Callithrix jacchus: one gene and its partners. The protein of the gene in region 2 purifies or fractionates together with the protein of the main gene of each other region. This does not show direct contact. Links are inferred from orthologs where the notes say so. Each region holds a gene or a part of one and is shown on either strand. Other genes may lie near its edges.

The links.
Region 1: the proteins of PTPN5 (region 2) and MAPK3 purify together in Homo sapiens (affinity purification with mass spectrometry; 4 studies listed by BioGRID and IntAct, with this or other methods). This does not show direct contact. The link is inferred for Callithrix jacchus from reciprocal best matches to the Homo sapiens genes PTPN5 and MAPK3.
Region 3: the proteins of PTPN5 (region 2) and MAPK14 purify together in Homo sapiens (affinity purification with mass spectrometry; 3 studies listed by BioGRID and IntAct, with this or other methods). This does not show direct contact. The link is inferred for Callithrix jacchus from reciprocal best matches to the Homo sapiens genes PTPN5 and MAPK14.
Region 4: the proteins of PTPN5 (region 2) and ATP5PO purify together in Homo sapiens (affinity purification with mass spectrometry; 3 studies listed by BioGRID and IntAct, with this or other methods). This does not show direct contact. The link is inferred for Callithrix jacchus from reciprocal best matches to the Homo sapiens genes PTPN5 and ATP5PO.

The regions. Positions count from the first base shown.
Region 1 is NC_133513.1:29,407,478-29,414,833, forward strand, and holds part of MAPK3 (mitogen-activated protein kinase 3), read left to right. Parts: intron 1-643; coding exon 644-826; intron 827-4,342; coding exon 4,343-4,532; intron 4,533-4,715; coding exon 4,716-4,832; intron 4,833-5,081; coding exon 5,082-5,196; intron 5,197-5,577; coding exon 5,578-5,709; intron 5,710-5,876; coding exon 5,877-5,986; intron 5,987-6,081; coding exon 6,082-6,204; 3' UTR 6,205-6,235; intron 6,236-7,356.
Region 2 is NC_133511.1:84,757,319-84,765,722, forward strand, and holds the start of PTPN5 (tyrosine-protein phosphatase non-receptor type 5), read right to left. Parts: upstream 4,397-8,404; 5' UTR 4,154-4,396; intron 1-4,153. UniProt on the Homo sapiens protein: May regulate the activity of several effector molecules involved in synaptic plasticity and neuronal cell survival, including MAPKs, Src family kinases and NMDA receptors.
Region 3 is NC_133505.1:44,383,804-44,391,449, forward strand, and holds part of MAPK14 (mitogen-activated protein kinase 14), read left to right. Parts: intron 1-3,956; coding exon 3,957-4,068; intron 4,069-4,771; coding exon 4,772-4,801; intron 4,802-5,130; coding exon 5,131-5,178; intron 5,179-6,595; coding exon 6,596-6,710; intron 6,711-7,294; coding exon 7,295-7,366; intron 7,367-7,646. UniProt on the Homo sapiens protein: Serine/threonine kinase which acts as an essential component of the MAP kinase signal transduction pathway.
Region 4 is NC_133522.1:39,976,474-39,983,803, reverse strand, and holds part of ATP5PO (ATP synthase peripheral stalk subunit OSCP, mitochondrial), read left to right. Parts: intron 1-713; coding exon 714-826; intron 827-5,146; coding exon 5,147-5,233; intron 5,234-5,510; coding exon 5,511-5,624; 3' UTR 5,625-7,330. UniProt on the Homo sapiens protein: Subunit OSCP, of the mitochondrial membrane ATP synthase complex (F(1)F(0) ATP synthase or Complex V) that produces ATP from ADP in the presence of a proton gradient across the membrane which is generated by electron transport complexes of the respiratory chain.

The DNA.
Region 1 (7,356 bases), on a different chromosome or scaffold from region 2:
GGAAAGGGTGTCTTGGATTCCCTGTGAGGCAGTGCTTGGAAGCCTGGGGGAGAAGAACAGAGATCAGGGTGTGGCAGGGCTTTGGCCCTCCCTTCCCACCACCACCAGGGGCTCAGTGAGGGATGAAGGGGCCAGGAGTGCCACCTGCATGTTTTGGGAGGGGTCTGTGAGTGCCCCCCGCCCCTCCATGTGCTCTGGGACAGCCTGGCTGCCTGGGCCCCTCACTCTGGGACCCTCCCCTGCCCTGTCCATTCCCTGGCTGCTGCTTTCCCACTGTGTTTGCCCCATGGTGTGGTCCCAGCATCTGCACCCCTGGACCTGTCTTGGGTTAAGGAGCCTTTCCTGGGAAGTGGGGTGAAGGGTTCAGGGCCACTAGAATGAAAGGGGATTGAGGAGAGGGGAAGTCAGTGAGTGGTCAGTCTCTTCCTCTGTTTGTAAAGTCACCGCAGGGGCGCCTGGCTGGTCCCCAGCTTTCTCTCTAGAGATCCCAGGCCTCCACAGCAGGAAGGAACCAGCATTGTTTATGAATTGGCCAGAGCCAGCTCCTGCTCCCTCCCCTCCCTGCCAAGGCCTGGGTGGGGCCACCAGGCCTGGACTCCCACTTTGTAAGGCCACAGCAGCAGCCTCTCTCTGGTCCCCTCAGCTCGGCCTATGACCACGTGCGCAAGACTCGAGTGGCCATCAAGAAGATCAGCCCCTTCGAGCATCAGACCTACTGCCAGCGCACGCTCCGGGAGATCCAGATCCTGCTGCGCTTTCGCCATGAGAATGTCATCGGCATCCGAGACATTCTTCGGGCGTCCACCCTGGAAGCCATGAGGGATGTGTATCCTTCACCTTGGCCTTCATGGCCTCCGAGCTGGGCTGGGGAACCATCACTTGCTTTCTGTTTCCATCTTCCCCACCATCCTCCAAAAAAAACCCAGTAAAATAAACTTTCCTGCAGAGGAGAGGCCACAGTGTAACAGGACTTGGAGGCCTCTGATGAATCCAGGCCTGTGGCAGCCGGGCAGTATGGCCTTGAGCAAGTCGGTTCTCTGCTCTGTGCCCCAGGGGGAGAGCTGGGCAGGATGGTCTCTATGGGAGTGTTGTCTTCTGACATCTGCAGTTCTGAGACATGACCCGGCCACAGCCCACAGTCACTTCTTGATAACAAATGGACGATTCTTTTCTCTCTTTTCTCTTTCCCCAGACTGGAAGGGAGACAGGGAGAAAGAAAGCTGTCAGCCGGGTGCAGTGGCTCACGCCTGTAATTCCAGCACTTTGGGAGGCCAAGGCAGGTGGATTACTTGAGGTCAGGAGTTGGAGACCAGCCTGGCCAACATGGTAACATTGTAAAACCCCATCTCTACTAAAAATACAGAAAAAAAAAATATATATAGCCGGGCCAGCTACTCTGGAGGCAGGGGTAGGAGAATCACTTGAACCCAGGAGGTGGACAGTGAGCCAAGATCATGGCATTACATCCCAGACTGGGTGACAGAGCAAGACTCTGTCTCAAAAAAAACAAAAAAACTACCTTTCTTGAGGGCCTATTGTGGGTCAGGTACTATATATGCCCAGTGCTTTATTTATTTATTTTGCTATTACACCTTCCAGCTATCCTATGAGATGGGTTTTTCAGCTCCATTTTTTTTTTTTTTTTTTTTTTGAGACGGAGTTTCACTCTTGTTACCCAGGTTGGAGTGCAATGGCACGATCTCAGCTCACCGCAACCTCTGCCTCCTGGGTTCAAGCAATTCTCCTGCCTCAGCCTCCCGAGTAGCTGGGACTACGGGTGCGCACCACCATGCCCAGCTAATTTTTGTATTTTTAGTAGAGACGGGGTTTCAACATGTTGACCAGGATGGTCTCAATCTCTTGACCTTGTGATCCACCCGCCTTGGCCTCCCAAAGTGCTGGGATTACAGGCATGAGCCACTGCATCCGGCCTTCAGCTCCATTTCAAAGATGAGGGGTGGAGAGCAATGGCTCACGTCTGTAGTCCCAACACTTTGGGAGGCCAAGACTGGAAGATTGCTGGAGACCAGGAGTTCAAGACCAGCCTGGGCAGCATAGTGAGACCCCATCTCTACAGAAAATTTAAAAATTAACCAGGTTTGGTGGTGCACAATTGTAGTCCCAGCTACTTGGGAGGCTGAGGCAGGAGAATGGCTTGAGCTCAGGAGTTAGAGGCTGCAGTGGGCTGTGATTGTGCTACTGTACTCCAGCCTGGGGGACAGAGAATGACCCTGTCTCAAAAAAAAAAAAAAAAATGAGGAAGCTAAGACCCAGAAAACCTAAAATCAAGTGTTTCTCTTGCTGTCTCCTCCTCCCCTCCCCCAGATGGGAAGTTGTCCTTCCTCTAGGACTTCTCACTCCAAGCAGCACCCTAATCACCTGTGGACTTGCACTTTGCCCAGGGAGGAGACAACCTAGCCTTGGTCTCCTCCCCTGATATTGCTTTCCTGGTTTGCTGTCCACTTCCTGGCTGGCTCTTTTGTTAGCAACTTGTGACACCTGTCACCTCTTCCCTGCCACACCCAATCACTCTCGGTCCCAGCACTCCACCCAAGAGAGGGGATTTGTACTCTGGTGTCTATAGCCCCCACCACAAACTGTGGACAGGAAATCTCCGCGTTCAGCCCCAGCTCGCTGTGTCATCTGAAGCAAGTCACTGCATCTCACTGGGCCTCCCCAGCTCTAAAACAGCAGGGCTGGTCCAGATGTTCTCTGAAGACTTCTTCAAGGCAGACCCCCCCTCCCCCCCCCCCCCCCCCCCCCCCCGCTCTGTTGCCCAGGCTGGAGTGCGGTGGCTAGATCTCCAATCACTGCAACATCCACTTCCCAGGTTCAAGTAATTCTGCCTCAGCCTTCCAAGTAACTGGGACTACAGGTGTGCACCACCACACCCGGCTAATTTTATATTTTTAGTAGAGATTTCACCATGTCGGCAGGCTGGCCTCGAACTCCTGACCTCAGATCACCAACCCACCTTGGCCTCCCAAAGTACTAGATTACAGGTGTGAGCCACAGCGCCTGGCCTCAAGGCAGATTCTAAAAGACAGACCTGACTTATTTTTCCAGACACAAGCCAAACGACATTTGTGGATTTATTTATTTATTTACTCACAGTCTTTGTTTTAGCTTCAAATGGAAAAAGACATTTTACTCCTCCATCTTCTGAGGTATGGCCAAGCACTCTTCTTTGAGTGGGAGTGTGCTGTTGGGAGTGTCTCCTCGTTTTTCTTGCACAAACCATTCCCATAAGGCAGGCATTTATTTTTAAGCAAACATCTATTGCATGCCAGATGGTGTTCATCCATTATCTCATTTAACTCCCGCGGCGTCCCTGTGACTCAGGCCTTGATATTAGTAATAATAGTTCACGTTTCTTTAGCACTCACAACTTGCCAGGCGCTGGGCTGACAGCTTTACATGCGCCACCTCATCTAGTCTTTACAGCCACCCTCGAAAGAACCATTATTTCATGCTTGCACCTGTAATTTCCAGCACTTTGGGAGGCCGAGGCGGAAGGAACTCTTGAACCGAGGAGTTCAAGACCTGCCTGAGCACATAGCAGGAGTCCATCTCCACAAAAAAGAAAAAAGCAAATAAACAAACAAAAAACATTATTTCCCCGACATACTAGGTGAGAAAGTTGAGGCACAGACAAGTTGAGATCTTAAAGCCAGTGAGTAGTAGAGAGAGGATTTCACACATCCATGGGTTAACTCCTTTTTATTTTTTAAAATTAATTTATTTATTTTTGAGACAGAGGCTCACCCTGTCATCCCAGCTGGAGTGCAATGGCAAGATCTTGGCTCATTGCAACCCCAACCTCCCGAGTTCAAGCCATTCTTATGCCTCAGCCTCCTGAGTAGCTGGGATTACAGGCACATGCCACTGTGCCCGGTTAATTTTGGAATTTTTAGTAGAGACGGGGTTGTGCCATGTTGCCCAGGCTGGTCTCAAACTCCTGGCCTCAAGCAATCCTCCTGCCTCAGCCTCCCAAAGTACTGGGATTAGAGGCGTGAGCCACTGCTCAGCCCCAGTTGCTGCTCTTAACTGTGAGGTTCTCCTGCCTCCCACAGTTTATTAGTATCCCCATTTTCCCAGTAGAGAAACTGAGGCCACAGAAATGAAGCCTTTTGCTCAGGCTCAGCAGCTTCAATGCAACAGAGGCTGAGTCCTGCTGCTGGGTGACAACGGCAGCTTGCCCAGCTGGCGGTGCAGGTTGGAAGTTCTATTGAGCCCCAAGGGCCCTGGCTGGAGGTGTGCAGGCTTGCCTTCAGAGCCTGTTTTCCTTAACCAAGTGCCTCCCGCTGCCCCTTGCCCGGGGGGCCTCCGGAACCATCCTTAGCTACATTGTGCAGGACCTAATGGAAACTGACCTGTACAAGTTGCTTAAAAGCCAGCAGCTGAGCAATGACCACATCTGCTACTTCCTCTACCAGATCCTGCGGGGCCTCAAGTACATCCACTCCGCCAATGTCCTCCACCGGGATCTAAAGCCCTCCAACCTGCTCATCAACACCACCTGCGACCTTAAGGTCAGAGGGTTGGGCACCTGTCTCCTCCTCCCCCAGGGTCTGGAGCTTCCAGGTGACCAGTGGAAGCCATTGGCAGGAGAACATTGCAAGCCAGGGGAACAGCAGAAGCAAAGACAAGGGGGAGTGACTGCTTGGGCTGCGGAGGCCTTGAGTGCCAAGCTTAGCAGCTGGGTCTGATTCCAGATCTGTGATTTCGGCCTGGCCCGGATTGCTGATCCTGAGCACGACCACACTGGCTTCCTGACAGAGTATGTGGCTACACGCTGGTACCGGGCCCCAGAGATCATGCTGAACTCCAAGGTAGGAGGGGCTGCCCACTCCTGAAGGGAAGGGGCCAGGTCCCAGGAAGCCCTGGAGCTACCTCTGAGCCAGGCACTGACCCCCATTCCACCCTCTGGGCTTGGGCTCTGCAAGGAAGCTGAGAGTGGAGCCCTCCAGGCCTCTGCCTTCTGCCTGGTGTTGGATCTAGCTTGGGGTGGTGGCCTGGCACAGGCAGCAGGACCCTGTTGAGGCTGTCCCGGGAGCCCATCACTTCCTCCTTTCTCCCAGGGCTATACCAAGTCCATCGACATCTGGTCTGTGGGCTGCATTCTGGCTGAGATGCTCTCCAACCGGCCCATCTTCCCTGGCAAGCACTACCTGGATCAGCTCAACCACATTCTGGGTGAGGGAGTCCCGGCTGACTGAGTGGGGGATAATTAGCTTTTCCTAGGTGAGATTTCTTGAGAGTCCGAGTCAGGGATATCATCATCATGTACGGGGTGCCTCCAGCATCTCCTAGACCTCAACGAGGTATAGATATTATCCCCACTGGAAAGATGGGAAAAGCAAGGCTAAGTCCTACACCTAAGGAGGCACCACACCTAGGATTTGAGCCTCAGTCTGCCTGAATCCAGCCCCTTGCTCTGCTGGGAGAGCAGACTAGGAGGTGACTAAGAGTTTGGCATGGGTTGCTAGGCTGGGGGGTCTTGTTCTTGCCCTCTTGCCTGTTCTGTTCCCAGAAAGGAGGAGGTGATCATTTACCAAGTCACCTCCTTATCCACAGGCATCCTGGGCTCCCCATCCCAGGAGGACCTGAATTGTATCATCAACATGAAGGCCCGAAACTACCTACAGTCTCTGCCCTCCAAGACCAAGGTGGCCTGGGCCAAGCTTTTCCCCAAGTCGGACTCCAAAGGTATGAGAGACGTGGGGACGGGTGTGGCATAAACCCTGGGAGCTGTGGAGGGTGCGTGAGTCCAGCAGCCACCGGAGGAGACGGGCCCTGGGCATGGGGAAGCAAAGCGATGCTCCTGGGAGCTCCTCCAGCCTTCCCTGTGACCCCTGACTCCTGCCCTTCCATAGCCCTTGACCTGCTGGACCGGATGTTAACCTTTAACCCCAACAAACGGATCACAGTGGAGGAAGCGCTGGCCCACCCCTACCTGGAGCAGTACTATGACCCAACGGATGAGGTGGGCCAGTGCCTAGCAGCAGCGGGGCTGGGGGCAGGGGATCAAGTCGGCATTCCCCACACCGGGCCTGAGCCTTACCGTCTCTGCCACCCCAGCCAGTGGCCGAGGAGCCCTTCACCTTCGACATGGAGCTGGATGACCTACCCAAGGAGCGGCTGAAGGAGCTCATCTTCCAAGAGACAGCACGCTTCCAGCCTGGGGCGCTGGAGGCCCCCTAACCTAGACAGATATCCTGTGCCCTGGGGCCTGGTGAGTGTCCCCATGGCCCGCACACAGACACACTGATACTAAATATAGATCTCTATCTCTATATCCACACCTACAGCTATCTCTGTCTCTATCTACCTCTCTCTCTATCTCTATCTAAGCTGCAAGCTTGCCCCGCACCCATGGTCCATGTGGCTGGTGACATCAGAGGTGCCCAGGGAGCTGGGCATGGTGGCTCATGCCTGGAATCCCAGCACTTTGGGAGACAGACTTAGACCAGTAGGTCACCAGAGGTCAGAAGTTCAAGACCAGCGTGGCCAACATGGTGAAACTACTAAAAATACAAAAATTACACACCAAAAACATATAAAAACTACTCAAAATACAAAAATAAGCCGGGCATGGTGGCGCACACCTATAAGACCCAGCCACTCAGGAGGCTGTGGTGGGAGGATTTCTTGAACCTGGAAGGTGGAGGTTGCACCACTGCACTCCAGCCTGGGCAACAGTGAGACTCTGCCTCAATAAAAGAAAAAAATGCCCAAGGACTACCCAGACTCGTGGCCCACCCAGTCCTCCAACCCCAAATGTCTCCACCTGTCAACACCCTGCATCCTCCAGCCCCAGGAGCCATTCTAATCTTCTGGGAACAGAACTAGCAAAGAGGCAAGAGGTTACAGAGGGCCCCTGTCACCCAGGTAAGGACCTGAGCCAGGCCTCAGCTCTGGGTGTGGCAGAAGCAGGTGGAGCCATGATCGCTTTGGGAGGGGCCCAGCATCACCCAGCCTGACCCAGATGGCGAGGCCTCCTCACACCTGCTGCCAGGTTAGCAGTTCACATAGCTGTGGGACCCCACTGGGCCTGCCCCCACCCACACTGCCTCCTCCAGTCTCTTCCTGTCTCTGGCCAGGTGTGGCCTGATAGGAAGAAGGCAGCACACCTGGGCTCAAACTGCAGCTGTGCCACTTAGTAAGTGCTGTGTGGTATTAGACAAGGCACCTCGCCTCTCTGTGCCTCAGTTCCCTGGAAACAGTTTTATTTATCTTGTTTTGTTTTTGTTTTTTTTGAGACAGTATCTCACTCTGTTGCCCAGGCTGGAATGCAGTGGCACAATCATAGCTCACTGCAGCCTCAAATTCCTGGGCGCAAGGGATCCTCCCAGG
Region 2 (8,404 bases):
AGGCACAAAGAATGTAAGGTGAACAGGACATATGTCCTGTCAGATTCATTAACATCATGCAGCTTCCTGAGGTCTATAGGCCCTTACAAGATTGGCTCTTCCCACTGTCTCACCTTTCCTTACTACTTTTCCCTATTGTCTGTCTTTAACAGCTACACTTCAGGTTCCTTGAGGACACCAAGCTATGGTTACCCCAGGGTCTTTGCATCTGTGGTCTCCTCTTTTTAGAATGCTATTCCCCAGGTCTCTTCATTCAGGTCTTTGTTCAAATATCACTTTCTCAAAGACAATTCTATTTTAAGGCAAGTCTCATCCTCCACTCTTCCTCCCAGTCATTCCTCATCCTACTTCATTTTTCTCCAAAGCACTCACTGCTCAGCACCTGAACAATTTTATCTTTGCTTACGTTTTATTTTCCATCTCCCCTGGTAGAGCCTGGGCTGGAAGTTTGTCTTTTTAGCAACGTATCCCTAGGGGCTAGAACAACCTGGCATGTAACGGATGTTTATAAGTATTTGGAGAATAAATGACTAGATGAACTGGTTCTTGATAGTTTAGGGTGCTTGATGAACCAGCTTTTCAGGAGGAATCATGATGGTCCCTGGTAGATTCACAGCCCTTACTCCTAAGCTTCCCACTCCTCCTCCTGATGGGCTCTGTCTGTAAGTGGCATTCTTGTCCATTTGGTCTCAAGCCTTGCCATCACTTATTCCTCCCTCCTGCTAGTGCCATCCAATCAGTTACCAATTTTAGTGACACTGTGGCCTCTCACATCAATTCCTTTTTTGAGCCATTCTTACAACCACCCCCAGTCCATACTCTCTGTATCTCACCTAAACCATTGTCATCATTTCCTACCCGGGCTTCCAGCCAACAGGCTCTCCTCATCCAATCTGTTCTCCATGGGGTAGCCAGAGTGCGTTTCAACATGTTAAGGTTTGATCATGTTTCTCCCTCACTCAAACACTAAAGACTGCCAACCCCTTAGCATGGCAGTCAGTGCCCCCTCCATCACCTTCATCCCCTTACTCAACCTTCTTTCTCAAGACTCTTCTTTTGTTCTTTTTCCTCCAGTGGGAATAAACTGCTTTGCAGTTTCTGTATATATTCTAGAAGTCTCCCTTACCTGTCCATCCTCTGCTTATGCTGTTTCTACTCTTTGAAATAGTTTTCTTCCTTTCTTCTAAGTACAAATCATTCAGACCCAGTTTGAATGCTACTTAGCTTCCCCAAGAAGCCATTCCTGACCTGTGAGGAGAAGAAAATTCCTCTTTCTTCTCAACTGTTTTTAAGAGGTTATCTGCCTCTTTTTTAGGGCAAGCCTTGGGAAAGGACGGGCAATATGACAGAAGAAAGAGTCCAGAATCTGGAGTCAGATCACCTGAGCCAGAGGCCTAGCTCTCTGGATCTGAGACTTTCACGGTATGCACCCTTAGATAAGTGAAAATCCAAGTCTTAATTTCCCTAACTGTAAAATAGGGATAACACTATTGATGTCATGGATGTGTTACAAGGAGTGACAAAATATAGGAAAAGCTTTTGACACTATATGCAAATTAATTATGAAATTCTATCATGCTAACACATAAAACGTTGAATAAACAGTTGCTCCTCCCAGGGAGTTTTCATGGATGTTTTATGCTGGCTGAGCCCTAAGTCCAGGAATAGGTCAGTGGGGAAAGGATTTTTTTTGAGGGGGGAGGACTTTGAGGCCTTAAGAATCCCATGTGCTTGGATGATGTGAAGAAAGGAAAAAGTATAGGGTACACCCACAAAGCTGGGTCCTAGTGGAATTACTAGCTACCAATTCCTGAGCATTTTCTACATGCCAGGCACTGTACTAAGTACCCTACATACATTATCCTTGAGTCAGAAATTATTCCTTCACAGAGCAAAAGAAGCCCATAGCAGTTATATAAATAAGTGGTACCCCCGCCCCACTGCCAAATAGTTCATAACATCATCAATTCAATGATGTTATTTTTTGGATGGAGAAATTGAGACCCCAGTGGGTTATATATGGACACTGTACAGCCAGTAAGGAAGACACTGGGCTGGAATCCAGATCTCTTCTCTCTCGAGGTAGAAACCTCTACTTGGCAAAACCCCAGGGCCACCATTCATTATGAAGTCTGTATAAACAGCGCTTCTTGGAGCACAATGCCATCTATATGGACTCCATTGTCAGTAGCAGCCCCTGAAGTTCTGCTAATTGGCCCACCCTGGCTCTGCTCACCCCTTTTGCTCACACAAAAAGGAAGTTCTGGATGGATTGGAGACTATGATTCTAAGTGAAGTAACTCAGGAATGGAAAACCAAACATCATATGTTCTCACTCATTAGTGGAAGTAAGCTATCAGGATGCAAAGGCATCAGAACAACACAATGAACTTTGGGGACTGGGGAAAAGGAGGAAGGGGGTGAGGGATAAAAGACTGCAAATTGGGTTCACTGTATAGTGCTTGGGTGATGGGTGCACCAAATTCTCACTAATCACCACTAAAGAACTTCTCATGTAACGAAATACCACCTGTTCCCCAAAAGCCCAATGGAAATAAAATAATTTTAAAAAGGAAGTTCTTGAGACCAGAACATCAGGTCCCTAGAGACTGAACACTGCCCTCCTTGCCAACTATTCCATCCAGGTCTCTTCCAAGGTGACTGACTGCATCCCTTCACCATCCCTCTAGCTTGTACTCCTTCAACACACCTCTCGGGGCACTCTCTCTGCACCAGGCATCAGGCTCAGCTCTGGGGACAGCTGGCTGCCCTTGAGGGAGTCTTATGCTGAGAAACCACCCAAACCTGGGGTGACTGTAACTCAAGCTTCCCCAGAAGCTTTGTCAGCAGCACCAAGAGGCTGCCCTTAACAAGCCCCAAGGAGAAAGAGGTGGAGACCTTCGCAAAGAGATGATGAAAGGGGCCTGGTTGAAGTAGAAGACCTGGGCCCTTGAAGGGGAGGGAAGGGTGACTGGGAGGGCATGCAGTCAGGACATAGTAGAGAAGAGGACAAATCCTGGGATGCCACATCACCTAGCCCAACTGAGGATACTCAGGCTCAGTGTGTCCTGGCTGGGTCAGGACTAACACCTGGGAATGTGATCTCAGGTCCAGGGCTTCTTCATTCTCCCAAAAGGAATCCCAAATCTGGAGTGTTTGAATAAGAGACATGAGAGCTCTCCTTTGAGATTGAATGAAGCAAATTCAAGCCCCCTCCCCTCTCCCCCCCCTTTTTTTTGTGGCACAGTAGGGATGGTAGCAAATGAATGGCACCTGCCTCTCCAAGTGGGGCAGGGCTGGAATTAGACTTTCGTGGTACACTCTGGTGAATTTTGGGGTTCTGGGGCTTCAGTGGGGGTAGGATCTAGTTGTGTAGGAGGGGCCACGAGTATGAAACCCAGGGACCCTAGATTCTAATGCAAGCATTACCACTAACTCTCAGGTGACCTTGGTCAAGCCACCTTACTGGGCCTCAGTTTCCCTATCTGTAAAATGAGGGGTTTGAATAAGTTCCCAAGATTCGTCTCGCTCTGACCTTCTAAGCCCTGTGATCCTTGATAAGGCAAGCCCTCCCAAGGCTCTGACCCGGGCAATCTCCGGTTTTGCCGGAGCCTGCGCCTCATCCAGAAACAAGCGGCATGCTGGGGGAAGGGAGCGCGCTAAGCTTTTATTCTGGGGGAGGGTGGGACGCGGGAGGCTAAAGCTAAAGGGTCGGTGGAGGCAAAGCGATGGGAAGGCTGGGAGCCGCGGTTTACAGACCAACAGGCTAGCGGCGATGTCCAACCTCCCTCAGGGGCTTCGGACTCTGGCTAGGCGATGCAGCCCAGAGCCGCGCACCAGCCTCCGCCGGCCGCAAAGGCTCAGACGCCAAACCACTATCCCAATTCCTCCCCGGAACCGTGCACCGGCTTCGTGGGGAGTGGCTGCCGCTCCATCCCGGTTACCAAGCGCCGAGCCCCCTCCTCTGTTTGGGGGACCCCTCCCCCAATCTGGGGGCGCCCGGAGCCCCACGGGGGCGTGGCGGGGGCGGACGCCGGCTCCTCCGCCCTAAGGGCTGGAGAAGGTGTCAGCTGCGGGGCCGCCTCAGGAGGGACCCGCGCCCTCCACCTTCCGGCTCCGCACACAAAGGCGCCGACCGAGGCGCCACACTTACCGGCCAGAGCGGGCTCCGGGCGCAGATGAGCGGGCGGGCAGGCTGGAGGGAGGATGTGCGCGCGCGAGTGTGCGTGTGTCTGCGTGTGTCCCTGCCTGTGTCTGTGCCAGAGTGTGTGCGACGGGGGCCGCGCCGAGCTCAGTGCGTCTGCGTGTGCGGGGGCGTCCGTCCTTCGGTCCGTCCGCCCGGCGCTCCGTCCCGCGCTCCGTGCGCGCTCCCTTGCCCGACCGCCTCACCAAATGCGCTTCAGCTGCGGAGTCGCCGGCGCAGCCGCCGGGTGCTTTTGGCACCCCCCAGCCCCGGCTCGGCTCCGCCCCGCCCCCAGGCGGGCTTGCGCCGCTCCCCGGGAATTGCGCAGGGCTGGTGGGGCTGGTGGGGCTGGTGGGGCTGGTGGGGCTGGTGGGGCTGGTGGGGCGGGGAACCGGGAGATCCCGCTGGTCCCGGGGCCCGAAGGGGGCCGGATCCCACACCCTTAACCCCTGACCCCATCTCAGGTGCCTCCCTCTTCCGAGCAACTCTGCGCGGAGTCCCGGCAGGCGTCTCCCCAACACCAAGGTTGCTTGGACAGGGAGGGCGGAGGAGTGGGAGTATCGCATCCATTTCATTCATGATTTTTCTCCTCTGGGGAGCCCCGGGTGGGGCCGCGCGGCTACGGCTACAGCCAGAGAGACCCCAGCAGGGCCGTACGTGCTGAACCTGGGACGGGACAGGGAGGCTGGCAGAGGGAGTAGGGGCCAGCGAGACAAAGGGAGCAGAGGTGGCGGGGGGGGGGGTCGGCTCACTGGGGGCATGCTGTGGCTCACCCCGCGTGATACCAACACCTGCAGCGGAGCGGCCGCATACTAGGGCGCACAAAATGCCGGGTGCCCAGGACCGGTTCTAGGACTCTTGAGGAGACGTCCCTCTTCCTAATTCTCCCTGTTCAGCCTCTGGGGAGCAAGAGTGAGTGGACAGCCCCTCCCTCCACGGATTCTTGCCCTCCTGATGTGCGGCGCCGGGCACGCACCTGTCTTGGTTTTCTCGTGGGCACCAGGGACCCGGACGCGCAGGTAGCTGCCCATGAGCCCCACAATCCTACACAATCCCCCCACAATCCTGTATTCTCCACGCTGCTACCGCGCTGGCCCGAGGTTCCCGACTTTTCCATCCCCATGGGGGCGGGCTTGAGGCTGCGGGTTGGACACAGGGCAGGTATCCTAAACTCCATTTTTACACGGGGAATCAGAGGCGAGCCGCCACAAAGCTACCGCCCTGGTTCCAGCCACCATCCTCCCCCTCCTCTGGGAATTTCATAATTGCCTCTTTACTGGTCTCCCAGCTTCCACCCTTGGCCCCTTGCAGCTGATTCTATGCATAGCAGTCAGAGCGATCCTTTAAGTCAGAGCACGTCCTTCCTTTACTGGAAATCCTACACTAGCACTCCATTTCATCCAAAGGAAAGCTAAAGGCCTATCATGACCTGCAAGGCCCTTCAGGAGCTGGCTCGCTTTTAACTCTTTAACCTCTCTTTCTACCACCCTCTCCCTTCTCCCACGCTCCACTAACACTGGTCTTTTAAATGCATAACCGACCTGGCAGCCCTGTGGCCTCAGGACCTTTGCACTGCTAGTCTGTGACTGGAAACTCTTCCCCCTGATAGTCACATGGTTACTCCTTTACCTCTTCAATGTGTCATTATTTCTCTTTCTCCTCCTCCTCCTCCTCCTCCTTCTTCTTCTTCCTCTTCTTCTCCTCCTCCTCCTCCTTCTTCTTCCTTCTCCTCCTCCTCTTCTTTTCTCAGATGGAGTCTTGCTCTGTTGCCCAGGCTGGAGTGCAGTGGTGCCACCTTGGCTCACTGCAACCTCTGCCTCCCGGGTTCAAGTGATTTTCCTGTTCAGCCTCCCGAGTAGCTGGGATTACAGGTGCCCACCACCATGCCCAGCTAATTTTTGTATTTTCAGTAGAGACGGGGTTTCACCATGTTGGCCAGGCTGGTCTCAAACTCCTGACCTGGTGATCTGCCCACCTCAGCCTCTCAAAAGTGCTGGGATTACGGCATGAGCCACCGTGCCCAGCCTTAACATGTCACTTCTAAGAGACATGCTGAGACTATTCTGTTTAAAGTTGCTGGCCCTCCCTCCTTTTCTCCATGGAAGCTATGACTTTTATTTCTGTTCCCTGCTCCTGAGGCTCACTGGCCTCATTGCCAGCTCCCACCTCAGTCCCCTCCCATTCCAGTTCTTCAGCCTCACCTCACACTCTTTTCTTTCAACAAACCCTGAGTTTTCCCATCTCTAGGCCTTTGTTCACATTGTCGGTTCAGTCTGAAATGCCATCCTTCCATGTCTTGACTAATTTTTAGGTCCAGCTTAAATATCACCTGCTTCTCCTGATATTCTCAGGGACACTCAGCCCTCATTACTTTCTGTCTACTGTGATAGTGGTTCCTTGTCTTTTTCCCCAGGTGCACTTTGAACTCCTGGAAAGTCAGGTGGGGTGTCTTCCTTCTCCCCAGTTCCCAGCACAGAAGGGCTCATCGGTACATGTTTGTTGATCAAGGGCACTGATTGGGCTGGGCCTTGATTGGTCTTTTTTTTTTTTCTCTCCTGGGAAAAGGCCTAGAGACCTAGACCCAACTAGGTCCCTGTGTTGCTCTCAAGGAGTTTCCTGTGGAATGGGGAGGATTATATGTTGGGTAAAAAGGCTGTACTGCTTGGGTTGTATGAAAGGGTGCATAGGTACGTCAGCCTGTGTGCCAGGACCTGCTCCCCACCCCAGAGGATCATCACCATGTTCAGCATGAGTCTGATTTCTCCAGGCTGCATCAATGTAACAATAGCAGACGGGCACTTTAGTATGTGCCAGGTACTGTTTTGTGTTTTCTCAAGGCACGGCTCTATTGAATCTTTATGGCATCTGTGGGAGGTGGGCCTTTTGACGTTCCCTATTTCAGAAGAGGAAGCAGAAGCATAAGTCAGTTTCTTACGATCACTTAAGAGGTGAGTGTTTCAAATCCAGATCTAGCCAGTTCCATAGCCCATGGTCACAGAAGCAGGGATGCCTTAACATCAAAGCCCTTTGGGCTGATGGAAGGAAGGGGAGGAAGTAAGGCTTAGAGAGCTTCAGCAGCATCAGCCTGGGGCAGACTCTTGATGTCCCCAGCTCAGGGGTCATAGAGTCATGGAACCCTAGTGGGCTGGGACCTCACAGCTTCCTGTCAGTGTTGCCTCTGATGTCCTGTGGTGGAGGTTAATGGCTACCCTTGCCCATTGTAAAGGCAACTTTGGAAAGCTAGAGCTGCCTTGTAAACATTCCTAGCTATGTGCGCTGGGTTCAAAGCCCATCCCCAGCTGTCACATGTGTATAATAATGCCCAACTCAAAGGGCTATGGCAAGGAAGAAGTGTGACAATACCTCTAGAAAGTAGCAGGACAACAGCAACAAAGATCTTTCTCCTTTTGTTTCTTGTATTGCGTTTCTATCACATAGGGGTGCACCTAAACTAGTCTCCTCACCCTGTTTCCACCCTATACACCCTCTTATTGAAAAGCCTTACCCCAGGTTGCAGTTCAGGAAGGAAATCTCGCATTTATTGAGGGCTTTAAAAATCAGTGATCCACGCTTCCCTGCATTCTTTCCTTTGATCTGCCAAAGCATCTTAGAAGGGACTGCTTTACCAAGGAGGAAGAGGAGGTACAGAAAGGTCCAGGGGCCTTCCCAAGGTCACAGAGCTCACTAAACAAGATTCTAGCTTATGTCTGACTGTTCACTTAACCAGCACCCTGTCAATCCATGGAGAGTACCAGCACCCTGTCAATCCATGGAGAGTGACCTCTTTGATTTCCTTTCTCTTCTCTGATGAGGAAGAAGAGTTCTATGAGGCCCACGGCGATGAAATAGTTGTGAGGATGTGATGACTTAGGAGGCTTCTTGGGCTATTTTGTGTGACTCATTTACCCTCTCTTGATGGAGGGAAGAAGAGGGATTTAAAAAAGAGGAGATAGGGAGAAAAGATGATCTGAGCAACCAGAGAATGTTTTACTGGTGGTTCTTGATGGACTGTTAGAGATTAAAGTCCATCCTTCCTGCTTTTGGCCTCACTTGCAATTCACTGTCTTGGTAATGAAATGCTTTGCTTCAGTGAAAATGTCCCCTATCCAGATTTTTATTTATTTGCTTACTTATTTATAACTTACTGCAATCCGCAAAGGATCTGAAGTAGCTTACCACAGGAGCAGGATCCATAAAACAATGTTAAAGTAGCTGTGAAGA
Region 3 (7,646 bases), on a different chromosome or scaffold from region 2:
TGAGAGTTCTTCCTTCTTGCTGTCACAGTACATTATACTGACAGGAGTCACTTTGAGAAATGTGATTTGTGCTCTCTATACTTTGATTAAATTTAAAGGAGACCAACTTCACCAGAAAAGTGAAAAATAAGATTTGTATCAGTCCATTAAACTCTTTTCAACTTTTAGCCTAATAAAGTCCAGTTTGCTTAATTCTTTTGTAAAGATGTGAGAACTACATAGCTTTCCAACCATACTCAAGTCTAACCTTACTTAATTTACTTTAGGTATTATATACGTTGATAATATTAGGCATGTCTTTACTAAAACGTAATTGAATATGCTTTCCAGAAACAAATACTGTAGGAACTATGTGACTCTCCATTAATGCCTCTTTTGGAATGGACTTACTTAAAATGTGTTCATCTACATTCCTTGTCCTCCATCCTGTTTATTATTTTTAGAAGTTGGTGCATCTTCCATAAACCATCAGCATTTTTACATGATGCTTGCTTTTGTTCCCTGTTGCAAGACTTATTTTGAAAATCTTTCAATGTGGGAGTCAGAATTTAACAATTGGTGGTCATGGATTGGTTTTTGGGTCTCCCAGAAACAATGTATAAGGATTAGGTATAGCATCCTGCAAGATGCTTCTGCCATAAATAATGCCTTTAAGTTTATTTCATTGTAGGTTAGTAGTAATGCTTGATAGCTATTACTGTATAGACTGATTAATCTTATAAACTTGCATAATGTTTGGCAGTCTCACCCTCTGTACATTTTAGTGATAAAATGGATATGGTCTCTGAGGGGAGAAGGATTTGAGAGAAATTACATAGTGGTAAAATGTTCTAACTAAAAGCATGCTCTCTCCCTTGGGCCATGCAGTCAGTGGTCCTCTGGCTGCATAAGATTTCTTGAGTCACTGGTAACCATTTAAATAGTTGTACTTGAAGTTGCTATGGTTTCATTAGTAATTTTGCCTAACACCTTTGTGAACTAGCTCAGGCATATTAGTTAGGACTTTTAGGTTTTATTTAAAGGTAAGTTATGTTTGTCTCTTCTCTGTAAAATTATTTAGGAAAGTTGAAAGAATAACCCAGTTATTATGCAATGTCAAAAATATAATTATGTGCAAAGCAGTCTTGTAAGACTGAAATTGGATTCTTTCTTCCTCAGTTTATGCATCTATTTGGGGTTAAAAAAATACGGTGACTATGATTAGGACAGAATATTGCTATGTTCTTGCCAGCCTTCTTTATTAGTTAAGATTAACTTTGACAGTAAATACAGAATTGAGAATTATTAAGGAAATTACTCAGATATATTGCTTCCCTAGTTATTGTGACATTTATACAAATTTTTAAAAAGTCCATTCCCTTGATGTAAATTTTGTATTAGCTGAAAGAATTGTTGGAAGAATATGTGTTGTGATTAAGATCATGGTCTGTGGGGTCAGACAGTTTTAGATTCAACTCCTGACATTCCTACTCTTTTTGACAATGAGTAGATGGTTTATCCTTGTTCTGTCTCTGTTTCCTTGTCAATGAAATGGGAATGCTAATGGACATTATCTCACAGAGTTATTGGGAAGAGTACGTGAGACATGGACATAATAAACTGCTTACTGCAGTGCTGGGCACAGAATAAGTGCTAGTTAGTGCCTTTGGTTATGTTATGTTGAGGCTGGAACATCTCCTGAATCAGAACATTTCAGTCTCATTTACTTATTAAATTATATTTAGAGTCTACTCTTTCCTCAAGGCAGTAGAAACATGCAAGTTTTAAAAATATGAAATGCTAAAATCTTACCTTAAGGTTACCACTAGGTTAAGTCCTGTTGATCTTCATGAAATTGAGAACTGACCATGGCTGCCCTACAGGGAAATTATGACAGAGAAAAAAATTCCATTCCTCTTGGAGGACAGAAAGGAATAAATATATTGTATTAGTTATATGTGTAGTTCACACATGTTTATTCTTATAATACATTAATAATAGATCTAAATTACTGACCTGCTTTCCTCCAAAATTCATAAAAAATGAAAAAAGAAATGAAATGAAATCAGCATTCTTCATAGTTCAGCTGATATATATTATTACCCAACCTCAGGAATAAAAATGATTCTTAGATGGTAAATAAAACTCACCCTTATTTTAAAAAATTCAGCCTCTTAGCCAGGTGCAGCCGGTAATCCCAGCACTTTGGGAGGCCGTGGCAGGAGTTTGAGGGAGGCCTGAGATCAGGAGTTTGAGACCAGCCTGGCCAACATGGTGAACCCTGTACTAAAAATACAAACGTTAGCCAGAGCCGGATGTGGTGGTGCGTACCTGTAATTCTAGCTACTTGGGAGGCTGAGGCATGAGAATTACTTAATCCTGGGTGGCCTAGGTTGCAGTTAGCTGAGATTGCACCACTGCACTCCAGCCTGGGCAACAGAGCAAGACTCTGTCTGCCAAAACATAAAAATAAAATAAAAGCAAAAAAAAAAAAATTCAGCCTTTTTAGTACCGATCTACTTTTTATGTTTCCATAGCTGTGTAATACAGTAATGAGTGGGTTAAGGCATTGTGTCTAGAATATGTGTGGTGAACCTGTTGGACTTGAATGTAATCATTCCCTAATCTTACTACATAAAGATGGGATTAATAACCAGCACCACACCTGTGAGGAGAAGTTCTGGAATGCCTCATCTTGCCTCCAGATAAAACATGTTCCTCCTTCTTTTATGGTAAGTGCAGGAATATTGTCCATGAACAAAATCCTTTTACCAGTCATTCCTGAAAAAGAATTAGAGTTTGAAAATCAAAAAATACTCCTATTTTAGAACCTATAACATGGAAGGCTTACAATGAGGTAAAAATGTAGTGGTGGATTTAAAACTACAAGATACTTTATTCTAGCCGTGCACTAAGTTATACTGTGTATTTGTCATGCAAGAATAACATTTTTGAGGAAACTGATATTGACACATGTATCTTTCTAATTCCTATCTTTGCTTTTGTTGTTTTCTTTTTTATTTTTTGTAGAGGTGGGATTTCCCTATGTTGCCCAGGCTGATCTCAAACTCCTATACGCCTCCCAAAGTGCTAAGATTATAGATGTGAGCCACAAAGCTCGTCCTGTTTTCTTTTTTCTTGAGGTAACCTGGAAAAAGATGTCAAGTAGGAATGAGTATGAAATGTTTAGAATAGATGGCAGGTAGTTAAGTTAGAATAGTAATGGTGGGAGGCTGAATTGGGAGGATTGCTTGAGACCAAGAGTTAAAGCCCAGCCTGGGCAACATAGTTAGACCCCAATCTTTAAAAAAAAAATTGTTTTTCAAATTAGCTGGGCTAGTGGTGCACACCTTTAGTTCTAGCTACTCAGGAGGCTAAGGTAGAAGGATCACTTGAGCCCAGGAATTTGAGCTTGCAATGAGCTACTATGATTGTGCTCATGATAGAGCATCACCCTGTCTCTAAAAAAAAAAGAATAGTGATGTTGAAACTGAGGTAATGAGGTGCCCCCTCCTCAGCACACCCCCCCCCCCAGAAAAAATGAATGGTTGTTAACTTTTAACTGTCATTGTGGTACAGCTACCATTTTAAAGGAAGGGTGGCCTTCTCTTAAAAACTTAGAAAAGTCAGGCCAGGCACGTTGGGAGGCCGAGGCGGGGTGGATCATGAAGTGAGGAGTTCAAGACCAGCCTAGCCAAGATGGTGAAACTTTATCTCTACTAAAAATACAAAAATTAGCTGAGCATGGTGGGTGCACACCTGTAGTTCCAGCTACTTGGGAGGCTGAGGCAGGAGAATCTCTTGAACCCAGGAGGTGGAGGTTGCAGTGAGACAAGGTCACACAACTGCACTCCAGCCTGTTGACAGAGTGAGAGTCCATCTCAACAACAACAACAACAAAAATTACAAAAGTCTTGTGAAGATAAGAGCTTTCTTAGGGGTTCTAGATTGTTATGTAACTTTTCACTAATTTCTAGGTATCTGGTGACCCATCTCATGGGGGCAGATCTGAACAACATTGTGAAATGTCAGAAGCTTACAGATGACCACGTTCAGTTCCTTATCTACCAAATTCTCCGAGGTCTAAAGGTACAGATAATATAAATAATAATTTTTAAAAATGAATTCTCCCTTTTCCCCCTCCTTTTAGGGCTTAAACAAATAAACAAGTAAACAACTTTTCTTATGGAAAATTCAAACACACAGAATCACAAGTAAAAGTCATATATGATAAACTGCCATATTCGCTCATTGACAACAGTTATTATTGACATATTGCCAATTATGTTTCTTTTGTATTTTCCAAGCCCTGGATTATTTTAAAGCAAGTCTAGACATATTATACCACCCATAGATACTTTAGTATGCATATCTAAAAGATAAGGTCTCTTCATTGTTATATCTAAACAGTAATTTATTGATGTAATCTTATATCTGGTCAGTGTAATGTTGAGATTTGTTTTAAATCATCGAGGAAGACTAATTTATTTATTTATTGGAGGGGCAGGTAAACAGTATTTTAAAATTAAACTATCTTTGATATTTAGCCATTTTGAGTTCTGTTGAGCTCCAGAGTACCAACCAGAAAATAGATTAAAAGCTCAACTGAGTAGAGTCAATAGCTGTGGAAATTATAGTTATGGTAAATGTACTCAATACTGATAGTTACTTATGCTAATTTCTAATCTCACTGTTAACACTAGTAGTTCTTATTGATTCATGAAAATATGCAGCAAATATATAATACGACAATAGAAGGTTGGAATAACTTTGAGCTTTTTCTCTTTTGCAGTATATACATTCAGCTGACATAATTCACAGGGTATGTATTGTGTCTTTGATTACATTATTTTGGGGAAGTGGGGTGAGGGTGGAAGAATGGCATTTAGCCAAGGTCCTAATCTAAACTTACTTTAACCATTGAAATGTTGATTGATTGCAACTTTTCTCTAGGTTTAGACTGATTAAAGAAAGAAGATGATAGGTTTTTTTCTATGTAAGGCTAACGTGGACTAAATTTTGACTGTAGGATGGAGATTGTCTTTTGATAGCTGGATGAAGTCTTTTATGTCTAGTTCCTCATTATTTCCTGTAGGAAGAGAATTGATCATGCATTATAAAGTTGATCCTGTCTCTGTACTTGTTTCCTAGGACCTAAAACCTAGTAATCTAGCTGTGAATGAAGACTGTGAGCTGAAGGTAAAATGAAGAGACAGTAGTCATTGTTTGCTTTACTTTGAGATTATATGCCTCCTACTAAGGAGGCAAACTTTCGTAGGGAGATTTATGAGCCATGACTATCTGAAATTCATATTGTTTTTATTATCAGAGTTTGAAATTTAAAACATTTCTCAGTAAGCTAAGTTACTTTAGAAGTAGCATCACTTGTTTTCATTTTAACATAAATTAGAAATTTAATATATTAATCATAATAAAGGAAGATAATAGTCAAATACCAAGTAAGCAATGCTGAAGAGGTGATAACTAGATTAAATAGATTTCTAAGAGGAAAAATGGCAGAAACCTATCCACTCAAAATAATTCAAATAAAAGATAAGTGAATTGTTTCTAAAGAGCAAGTATTTCTAGAACTTGCTTTGTTCCATTTCATTTTTTTAATAAAAAAAATTTTCATTAAAATGCAACGTTTTGTGTACAGTTTGGCAAAATTATATATCCACTCAACTGTCACATTTATGATAAAGAACTTTTTTTTTCTTTCGAGTTGGAGTCTTGCTCTGTCACCCAGTCTGGAAGTGCAGTGGTTTGATCTCAGCTCACGGCAACCTCCACCTACCGAGTTCAAGTGATTCTCCTGCCTCAGCTTCCCGAGTAGCTGGGACTACAGGGGCATGCCACCACGCCTAGCTAATTTTGTATTTTTAGTAGAGACAGGGTTTCACCATGTTGGCCAGGATGGTCTCCATCTCCTGACCTTGTGATCCACCCTCCTTGGCCTCCCAAAGTGCTGGGATTGCAGGCATAAGTCACCGCTCCTGGCCAAGAACATTTCTGTTACTTTAAAAAGTCTGTTGTGCTCCTTCCTAGTCAATCCCCACCCTTCCACCCCTAATTCTCGCTCAAAGCAACTATGGATCTGCTTCTAACACTATGATTCGTTTTATCTTTTCTGGAGTTTCATGTACATGGAATCATATAGTGTGTATTTTTGTGTATCTAGCCTTTGCTTAGTGTAATGATTCTGTATTGTTGTGTCAATGTTTTTTTCCTTTTTATTGCTAATAGTATTTTGTTTTATGAACATGTCAGGATTTTTAAATCTGTCCACCTGCTGATGGACATTTGCTTTAGTTTGACTATGAGGCTATGTAAAGCAACTGTGAATATTCATGTGCAAACCTTTGTATGGCCATAAGTTCTCATTGCGCTTGATTAAATACCAAGGAGTGACATTTTTGTTTTGCTTTTTGTAATTCAGTTTTTTGAGTTTTCACTGTAAGTTTACCATGCACTCTAAGCATGGACCAGGAAATCTCTTTATAAAAGTGCTATCTTGTTTTCCTTTTTAAAAAGGCAACAGAGTTGTTGTTGTTGTTGTTTTCCCCTGCCTGTTTATAAGTCTTAACAGTTTGTCTGTTCCTCTTCTGCCCTTTAGATCCTGGATTTTGGACTGGCTCGGCACACAGATGATGAAATGACAGGCTACGTGGCCACTAGGTGGTATAGGGCTCCTGAGATCATGCTGAACTGGATGCATTACAACCAGACAGGTATTACTTGCACTGGTTATTTAGGGCCTTATTTAATTCTATGTTGGATGCATTTGGGATTCTCAGAAGTAGAGATTATGGGAGGGGAGAGAAATATCTTTTCTTTCCTCAGTGATCCTTTTAAAGCCTACAGGTGAAAACATTTCACTTGCTCAGATGGGGAATTGGGGTTTTATATACAGCTTTTAAAGCTCGTGATTTAGCAACTGGGTTTTTATTTATTTAGATTTTGAATTTATTCTCTGAGTATTTATACCTGAAGACAAAGAGTCCATAATTTTAACCCCTCAATATTACTTGGAAGAATCTACCATTCTTTTGCTCCTTTTTTGAACAGCTTATTTCTCCTTTTTTTTTTTTTTTTTATTTCTCTTAAGTATGTTTTGACTTACCCCACCTTTGAACAGCCCTTTAGTGGGGTAAAGATCAAGCTCATTTATTTCTGTAAAAATGAGAATGATTGTTGAGGCTCAGAGGTTTTAAATAGTAATTTGAGTATTTCACTCCTAGTTATGGTTTTATTTGTTGCCAAGTATAATAACAGTGACATCACATGTACTTTTATTTCTCTTTAATATTGCCAGTTGATATTTGGTCAGTGGGATGCATAATGGCCGAGCTGTTGACTGGAAGAACATTGTTTCCTGGCACAGACCGTATCCTTTAAAAAGTTTTGGATTCTTGTTTCTTATTTGTATTCTGGTGTCCATGGATGTATACTCCTTTTACTTATCTCTAGGGAAGGCTCTCAGTTTTTTGCTTTTATAGTCCAGATAATATGTTATGAGGTCTCCCTTCTTACTGAGTAGCTTGCCCTGCCAAGAAAGAGGCTTCAGTTTACTTTCATGAGTTGGAAAAAATTCCTCCTAAGCTGAAAAACCCTTCAAATCTGTCATCTTTTTGCAACAAACCCTTATTAATCATCCCACAGTGGTT
Region 4 (7,330 bases), on a different chromosome or scaffold from region 2:
TTTTAACTTTAGACTGGATGTCCCTCTCTTGTCACCCAGGCTAGAGTGCAGTGGGACAGTCTCGCCTCACTGCAACCTCTGCCTGCTGGGCTTAAGTGCTCCTTCTGCCTCAGCCTCCTGAGTAGCTGGGACTATAGGCATGCACCACCACGCCCACCTAATATTTGTGGGTCTTTTTGTAGAGACAGGGTTTCACCGTGTTACCCAGGCTGGTCTAAAACTCCTGGACTCAAGAAATCTGCCCACCTCAGGCTCCCAAAGTGCTGGGATTACAGGCATGAGCCACTACACTCAGCCTCTATTCACATTCTTAAAGGACATTGAATATACTGTGACTTTTAAGAGACAAGATCTTACTCTGTCACCCAGGCTGTGGTGCAGTGGCACAATTATAGCCCACTGCAGCCTTCAACTGCTGGGCTCAAGCAATCTTCCTGCCTCAGCTTCCTGAGTAGCTGGGGCTATAGATACGTACCACCAAGCCCTAATGTTTTTTATAGAGACAGGGTCTCACTATGTTGGCTGGTCTTGAACTCATGGCCTCAAGCAATCCTCACACCTCAGCCTCCAGTAGTTGGGATTATAGGCATGCGCCACTCAATATGGTGTTTTAAAGCCAGAAATCTAAGTTTGTGTTTTGGGTTAAGTATACAGCTTCATGAATAACTTGTTCAAGTGAGTTTCATGTTACTGAAACACCTTCACTTCACCAGATTTGCTTGCTGAAAATGGTCGCTTAAGCAATACCCAAGGAGTTGTTTCTGCCTTTTCTACCATGATGAGTGTCCACCGCGGAGAGGTTCCCTGCACAGTGACCACCGCATCTGTAAGTAACGGGTTGTTGCTGCTGTCTTGGCCTTGATGTTACATATGTCGCCTTTTGCAGAAAAGGGAAAAAACAAGGTAAAATCAAGAAATTGGAAAAAGTAACTTGTCAGCTGGGATGTTTCCTTCATTTTTATATCAGCTTCTGTGACCCTTTGCTTTGGAAACATCAGCATACATCTTATTAGTGCTTCTGTAACCGGTGATTATTCATAAGGCCTGGGTGAAATGGAAAGAACATCAAAATGTGTGAGAAAAGGGTGGTTTAGAACTACCACTTGAAGTAGTTTACTGAAAGTGCAATGGCACAATCTTGGCTCACTGAAACCTCTGCCTCCTGGGTTCAGGTAGTTCTCCTGCCTCAGCCTACCGAGTAGCTGGGATTGCAGGTGCCCACCTCCAAACCCGGCTAATTTTTTTTTTTTTGAGACAGAGTCTCACTCTGTCACCCAGGCTGGAGTGCAATGGCGTGATCTCAGCTCACTGCAGCCTCTGCCTCCCAGGTTAAATCAAGTCTCCTGCCTCAGTCTCCTGAAAAACTGGAATTACAGATGCGTGCCACCATACCCAGCTAATTTTCTCTCTTTCTTTCTTTCTTTCTTCTTTTTCTTTCTTTCTTTTTTTTTTTCTTTCTTTCTTTCTTTTCTGTCTTGCTCTGTCACAGTCTGGAGTGCAGTGCTGTGATCTCGGCTCACTGCGCCTTCCGCCTCCTGGGTACAAGCAATTCTTCTGCCTTAGCCTCCCAAATAGCTGAGATTATAGGCACGCGCCACCACACCCAGCTAATTTTTGTATTTTAGTAGAGATGGGGTTTCACCATGTTGGCCAGGATGGTCTCAATCTCCTGACCTCGTGATCTCGGCCTCCCAAAGTGCTGGGATTACAGGTGTGAGCCAACACACCCAGCCAATTTTTATATTTTCAGTAGAGACGGTTTCATCATGTTGGCCTGGCTGGTTTCAAACTCCTGACCTCAGGCGATCTGCCTGCCTTCGCCTTCCAAAGTGCTGGGATTATAGGCGTGAGCCACTGCACCCAGCCTGAGTTTATTTTTTTGAGACAGAGTCTCACTTTGTCACACCTCACTGCAGCCTCAACCTCCTGGGCTCAGGTAATCCTCCTGCCTCAGTCTCCTGAGTAGCTGGGATTACAGGTACACCCCCACCACACCCAGCTAATTGTTTTCTATTTTTGTAGAGGTGGGGTTTTACCGTGTTCGTCAGGCTTGTCTCAAACTTCTGGGCTCAAGTGATCCACCTGTCTTGGCCACCTAAAGTGCTGGAAGTAGAGGTGTAACCCAGCCTGAAACTAGAGTTACTAATCTTTCCTCTTTTGTGGTGGCAAATGGGAAGGAGTAGAGCAGATGGGCCTTTGTATCTTTTTGACTTGATAGAGTGGGGTATAATGGGCTACCATTTATTGAACGCTACTCTCTGCCGAGTTCTTCATTATTTTATACACTATCAAAAGATTCATGTGAGATAGAAGTGTAATTATCCTGATTTTACAAATGAGGAAACCGAACGCAGGAAAATGAAGTCACTTACCCAAGGTCATTACGAGGTGGGACCAGAATTTGAACACAGGCCTCTTAGAAGTCCATATTCCTTACACTACACTGCATTGCTCCCTCGAATTACTTTTGTTGTTGTCTTAAATATGTGTTTTCTTCCCTGTGTAGCTCAGTCAAATGTAACATAGCCCATTCTACAGGAAAACAGGAGAATGTGGTAGGTTTACTTGGGATTCATCACATCTGACCTCATCTAGATTAATAATTCTAGCATTTGGCCAGGTGCGGTGGCTCACGCCTATAAATCCCAGCATTTCGGAAGCTGAGGCAGGTGGATCACAAGGTCAAGAGATTGAGACCATCCCGGCCAATAGGTGAAACCCCATCTCTACTAAAATACAAAAATTGGCCAGGTATGGTGGCTCGCACCTGTAATCCCAGCTACTCAGGAGGCTGAGGCAAGAGAATTGCTTGAACCCAGGAGGCAGAGGTTGCAGTGAGCCGAGATCATGCCACTGCAATCAGCCTGGCAACAGAGCAAGACTCTGTCTCAAAAAAAAAAAAAAGTTCTAGCGTTGAAAGGACACTAACCTTTCAACTGGGATTTATAGGCGTGAGCCACCGCGCCTGGCCAAATGCTAACCTTTCCAGTTAGCACAGTTTCAAGGAGAAGCATCCTAGTACATCATACTTATTTGCACACTTGTAGGTCAGTAGTTGGTGCCCCCAAAACATGTACCTGGCTACAATCATTATAGCTCAGACATAGGCAGGGCTCCCTCTGTGGCCGCACTGGGGATCCCTAACAGTGTGGCACAGGTTAGGCATTCACCTGCCCCCCGTTCACCCATCGTGAAGCGCTGGCGCAGGACATTCTTCAGTACATACAAGGACATGATTTTCTTTCCTTTTCTTTTTTGAGACTGAGTCTCACTCTCCACCCAGGCTGGAGTGCTGTGGCACAATCTTGGCTCACTGCAACCTCCACCTCCCAGGTTCAAGCAATTCTTCTGCCTCAGCCTCCCAGGTAGCTGGGATTTTAGGCACCCTCCTCCATGCCCAGCTAATTTTGTATTTTCAGTAGAGACGAGGTTTCACCACATTGGCCAGGCTGGTCTCAAACTCCTGACCTCAAGCCATCCACCTGCCTCGGTCTCCCAAAGTGCTGGGACCACAGGCATGAGCCACCGCACCCAGCCAGAAGGACGTGGTTTTCTTTTAAAGGATGCTTATTTTTGCAAAAGATCTTAGAACCAACTATTACTAATGCTTTTGATTTTGATACCACAGGGTGTGTAAGTCTGTACTGTATGGATAAAATTACACCTTGATGAGTGACTAGGAGCACAGGCTTTAGAAATACACAGACCAATTTCAAATATTGAGGTTAGTCCTCACTTGCTGATGTGACCTCAGGTGAGTTTCTTAACCTCTCTGATCCTCGGTTCCCTCATATATAAAATGGGAATCAGAACCGCTGGCTCCCAGGGTTGCCCACATTAAGGGAGATAGTAGGTGTGAAATGCCTGGCATAGTCAGGCACCTGGCAGTTGGTGCATGTCTCAGTGGAGGGTGTGTATGTTTCAGAATTCCGTAACCTTGCAATCTCAGCAAATAATGTTTTGAACGTGAATAGACCTTGGCCATCACCACCCCCTGCCAAAAAAAGGATAGTGTGAGATCTTTACAAAGATACAAATTTTTTTCGCTAAATTTCTTTAGGCTCTTGGGAGGAGAGGCTAGGGAGGTAGGATTTATGACAAGTTAAAAAAAGGTCTTTGCAGCAGGGCACGGTGGCTCAGGCTTGTAATCCCAGCATTTTGGGAGACTCAACTGGGTGGATCACTTGAGGCCAGGAGTTCAAGACCAGTCTGGCCAACATGTTGTAAAACCCTGTTTCTACTAAAAATATAAAAATTGGCCAGGTGTGGTGGCATGCGCCTGTAATCCCAGCTACTTGGGTGGCTGAGGCAGGAGGATCACTTGAACCCGGGAGCCAGAGGTTGTGGTGAGCCTAGATCTCACCACTGTATTCTAGCCTGGGTGACAGAGCAAGACTCAGTCTCAGAAAAAAAGCAGGGGGCAGGGGGGTGAGGGGGCACCTTTGCTTCAACCACTTTTTTCATTTTCACCATTGTAACACCTAACTAACCAGGAGTAACAGTTGGGGCTGAGAGGAGAGTGCAGTCGGGACATTTAGGGTGCTCGCTCTAAAGTTGATTACGGAGCTGAGCTGACTTCAGGAAAAGCCAGCTGCTCCAGGTTCTCTCCCTGGGGTTCAGAGAGTGGAGTGGCCTCCCAGAGCTGCAGGTAACCGTGGATGCGGGGAGATGACAGCCAGTGGAGCTCGAGAAACATAAAGATGTAAAACCAGGTTAAAATGGCAACTTTTCACCCAAGGACATGATAGGGACATGTTGTGACCCTGGGGCTGCACCCACGAGAGGCCTTATCCTCCTGCATTGATAGAGCTCCATCTTCAAGCATTATCAACTTTGAGCTTTTCCTCCTCTGTTCCACGTTGTTTTGCTAGCACACGGAGCAGAGACAGGGAGTGGCATTTAGAGGCCGTCCATGACCCGCCCAGTGGGAGCTGCCCAGATGATGCTGTGAGGCAGGGCCTTCCCATGCTCCCTGAACCACCGGCACCAACAGGGAGTGAGTGCTGCCATGCCGCTCCACGATGGTCCCAAGTAGCTAGTGGAGGAGCTCACAGGCCTGTCTTGGTGATCTGGGCCTGGCGTGTTTTAACCATGGAAGTTTCTATTTTGCTTTATCTAAATTGAAAGGATGGTTTTTGTCTTTCAGCCTTTAGAAGAAGCCACACTCTCTGAATTAAAAACAGTCCTGAAGAGCTTCCTAAGTCAAGGCCAGATACTGAAATTGGAGGTTAAGGTGGGTTTTAAATTATTTATGGTATGTTTTCTCAGGTCATTTTAAATTTAAAATGGCTACAGAAAGTATTAATGACATATTAGATCTGGTTCTGTACTAATTTTTTTGTAGTTAAAATTTTGTATTTATTTTAAATTTAAATGATTATCTGACTCCGTGCAGTTTTACTTTTGCCTTTTTCTAGGTGTGATTGTAACATCTTACATTCCTGTGACACGTTTATGCCTTTCAAAGCACTTTTTCATGTGTCCCATTTCCAATCTGTTTTCTTTTGTAGACTGATCCATCAATCATGGGTGGAATGATTGTGCGTATTGGAGAGAAATACGTGGACATGTCTGCCAAGACCAAGATTCAGAAGCTGAGCAAGGCTATGCGGGAGGTTATCTGAAAGTGGTTTTCTGCCATCAGTGAAAATTCTTTAACTTGGAGCCACAATAAAAAGCTTCCAGAACAGACCATAGTATGTTCACTATCTTTTAAAGTAGAATGTAGAAGAGTTTACTTTTATGTCTTTCTTTTGGGATACCAAAAGACTTTTGAGTCTAAAGGTCAAAAAGCCCTTTTGGCCTAGAGAATTTGAGTAGACGGTTTTTAGGAATGGATTGTTTAGACGTAGCACCTAGCACATGGTCACTTAGCAAAGTCTGTCTGGTGCTGCCTGCCAAAATCCCATGTTTTTAGGGATTGCTCAGAACTCCTGGTCCCTGCTGAGTCATCGGATCTGCGCTTGCTCCGTCAGTCCTCCAGGGAGGCCTCTTTCTAATAAAATACCCTTAGTCCTGACATGAACATACCTTGTCCTAGGCTGCTCTGTAGCTTTCAGGGCCATTTCATGTACTTCTTAAGCTTCATGACAGCCTTGTCATATGGGTGGGACAGACATCACCCCACTTTACAAATGAGGAAAGAGATTGAGGGGCTCAGAGTCACCTGTGTGGACAGCTGGTCGCCAGGCTCTAGAGCCCTTGTTTGTCCCACTGTACAACTGACAGCACGCCCTGACATGTTGCTGGAGCAAACAGGCAAAAGTCATCGTACGTAGGTCCCCTGCCCCTTCCCATTTTGTCCCTAAGATGTTCCCAATTCTCCTCTTATCCAAAACCAGTTCCCAGGTCAGCTCTCCCCCTACATTTTACCTTTTGGCCTCTAGAGAAGGTAAGAGTTCCCCAGGCAACAGCCCACTCAGGCACCCGTTTCCTAGTCACCCTCCAGGAGCTTTGGGCCAGCAAACCAATTCTCTTCCCAGAACTGCCCTGGTTGGGCAGGGAGGAAGTCCTAAAGAGCAATTACATGGCCCAAGGCTACTCCCTGCATTCTAGTGCTGGGACCAGCATGCCCTCCATGTGGCACGACACTCCTGGCTCTCATGCTTGGCTTCAACTCCAGCTTCCTCCTGGCAGAGCTTTTAATACATCACCTAACAACCAGCAGAGACACCAGGTGGCCCCTCAACTTTCCCAGGAACCAGGAGTGCTGAGGCTGTTGGTTGGCCTGAAGTCCATTCACCTACCTTTTAGGTGGGCCTAGTGCTATCAGCTAAAGACCGTATTTTTGAGCCTCTGGTAGTACCTTAATGTGATGCTGAGTTGTAGCAAATAGGAGAGGAGAGGAAGTGATGTGTGCTTTCCTGGACTGCCCTCATGTCCCTCTGGCTAGATGCAGACAAGATGACAAGCCATGCCAAGGGCAAAGCCACCCTTCCAGGCCCGACTGCTGCCCTGAGCTGTTAAACATGATGAAGAAATAGACCTCACACCGAAGCCACCGGATATTGAGTTCTGTCTCTGCAGCTGAGTGCAACCTAACCACAACCTCGTTCCAGGTTCCGCCGACTCGCTGCGTGCAATGAGGCCCACTCTACACAAGGTGGCGTCATATACACAATCACAACTCCTACAGGCACGTGACCACCAATAGACAATCTGCTAGAGCCTCATGCTGCTGAATCTGCCCAGATCTTTCAAACTCAGCAACCTTCCTGTTGATCAAATATATAATCTCAGGGAATGATGAGGCGCTTCATATGTCGCCTTACAAGGTCACCAGAGAGAACCCAGAGATGTGTGTACAATGATTTGTTTTGTTTTTTGAGGC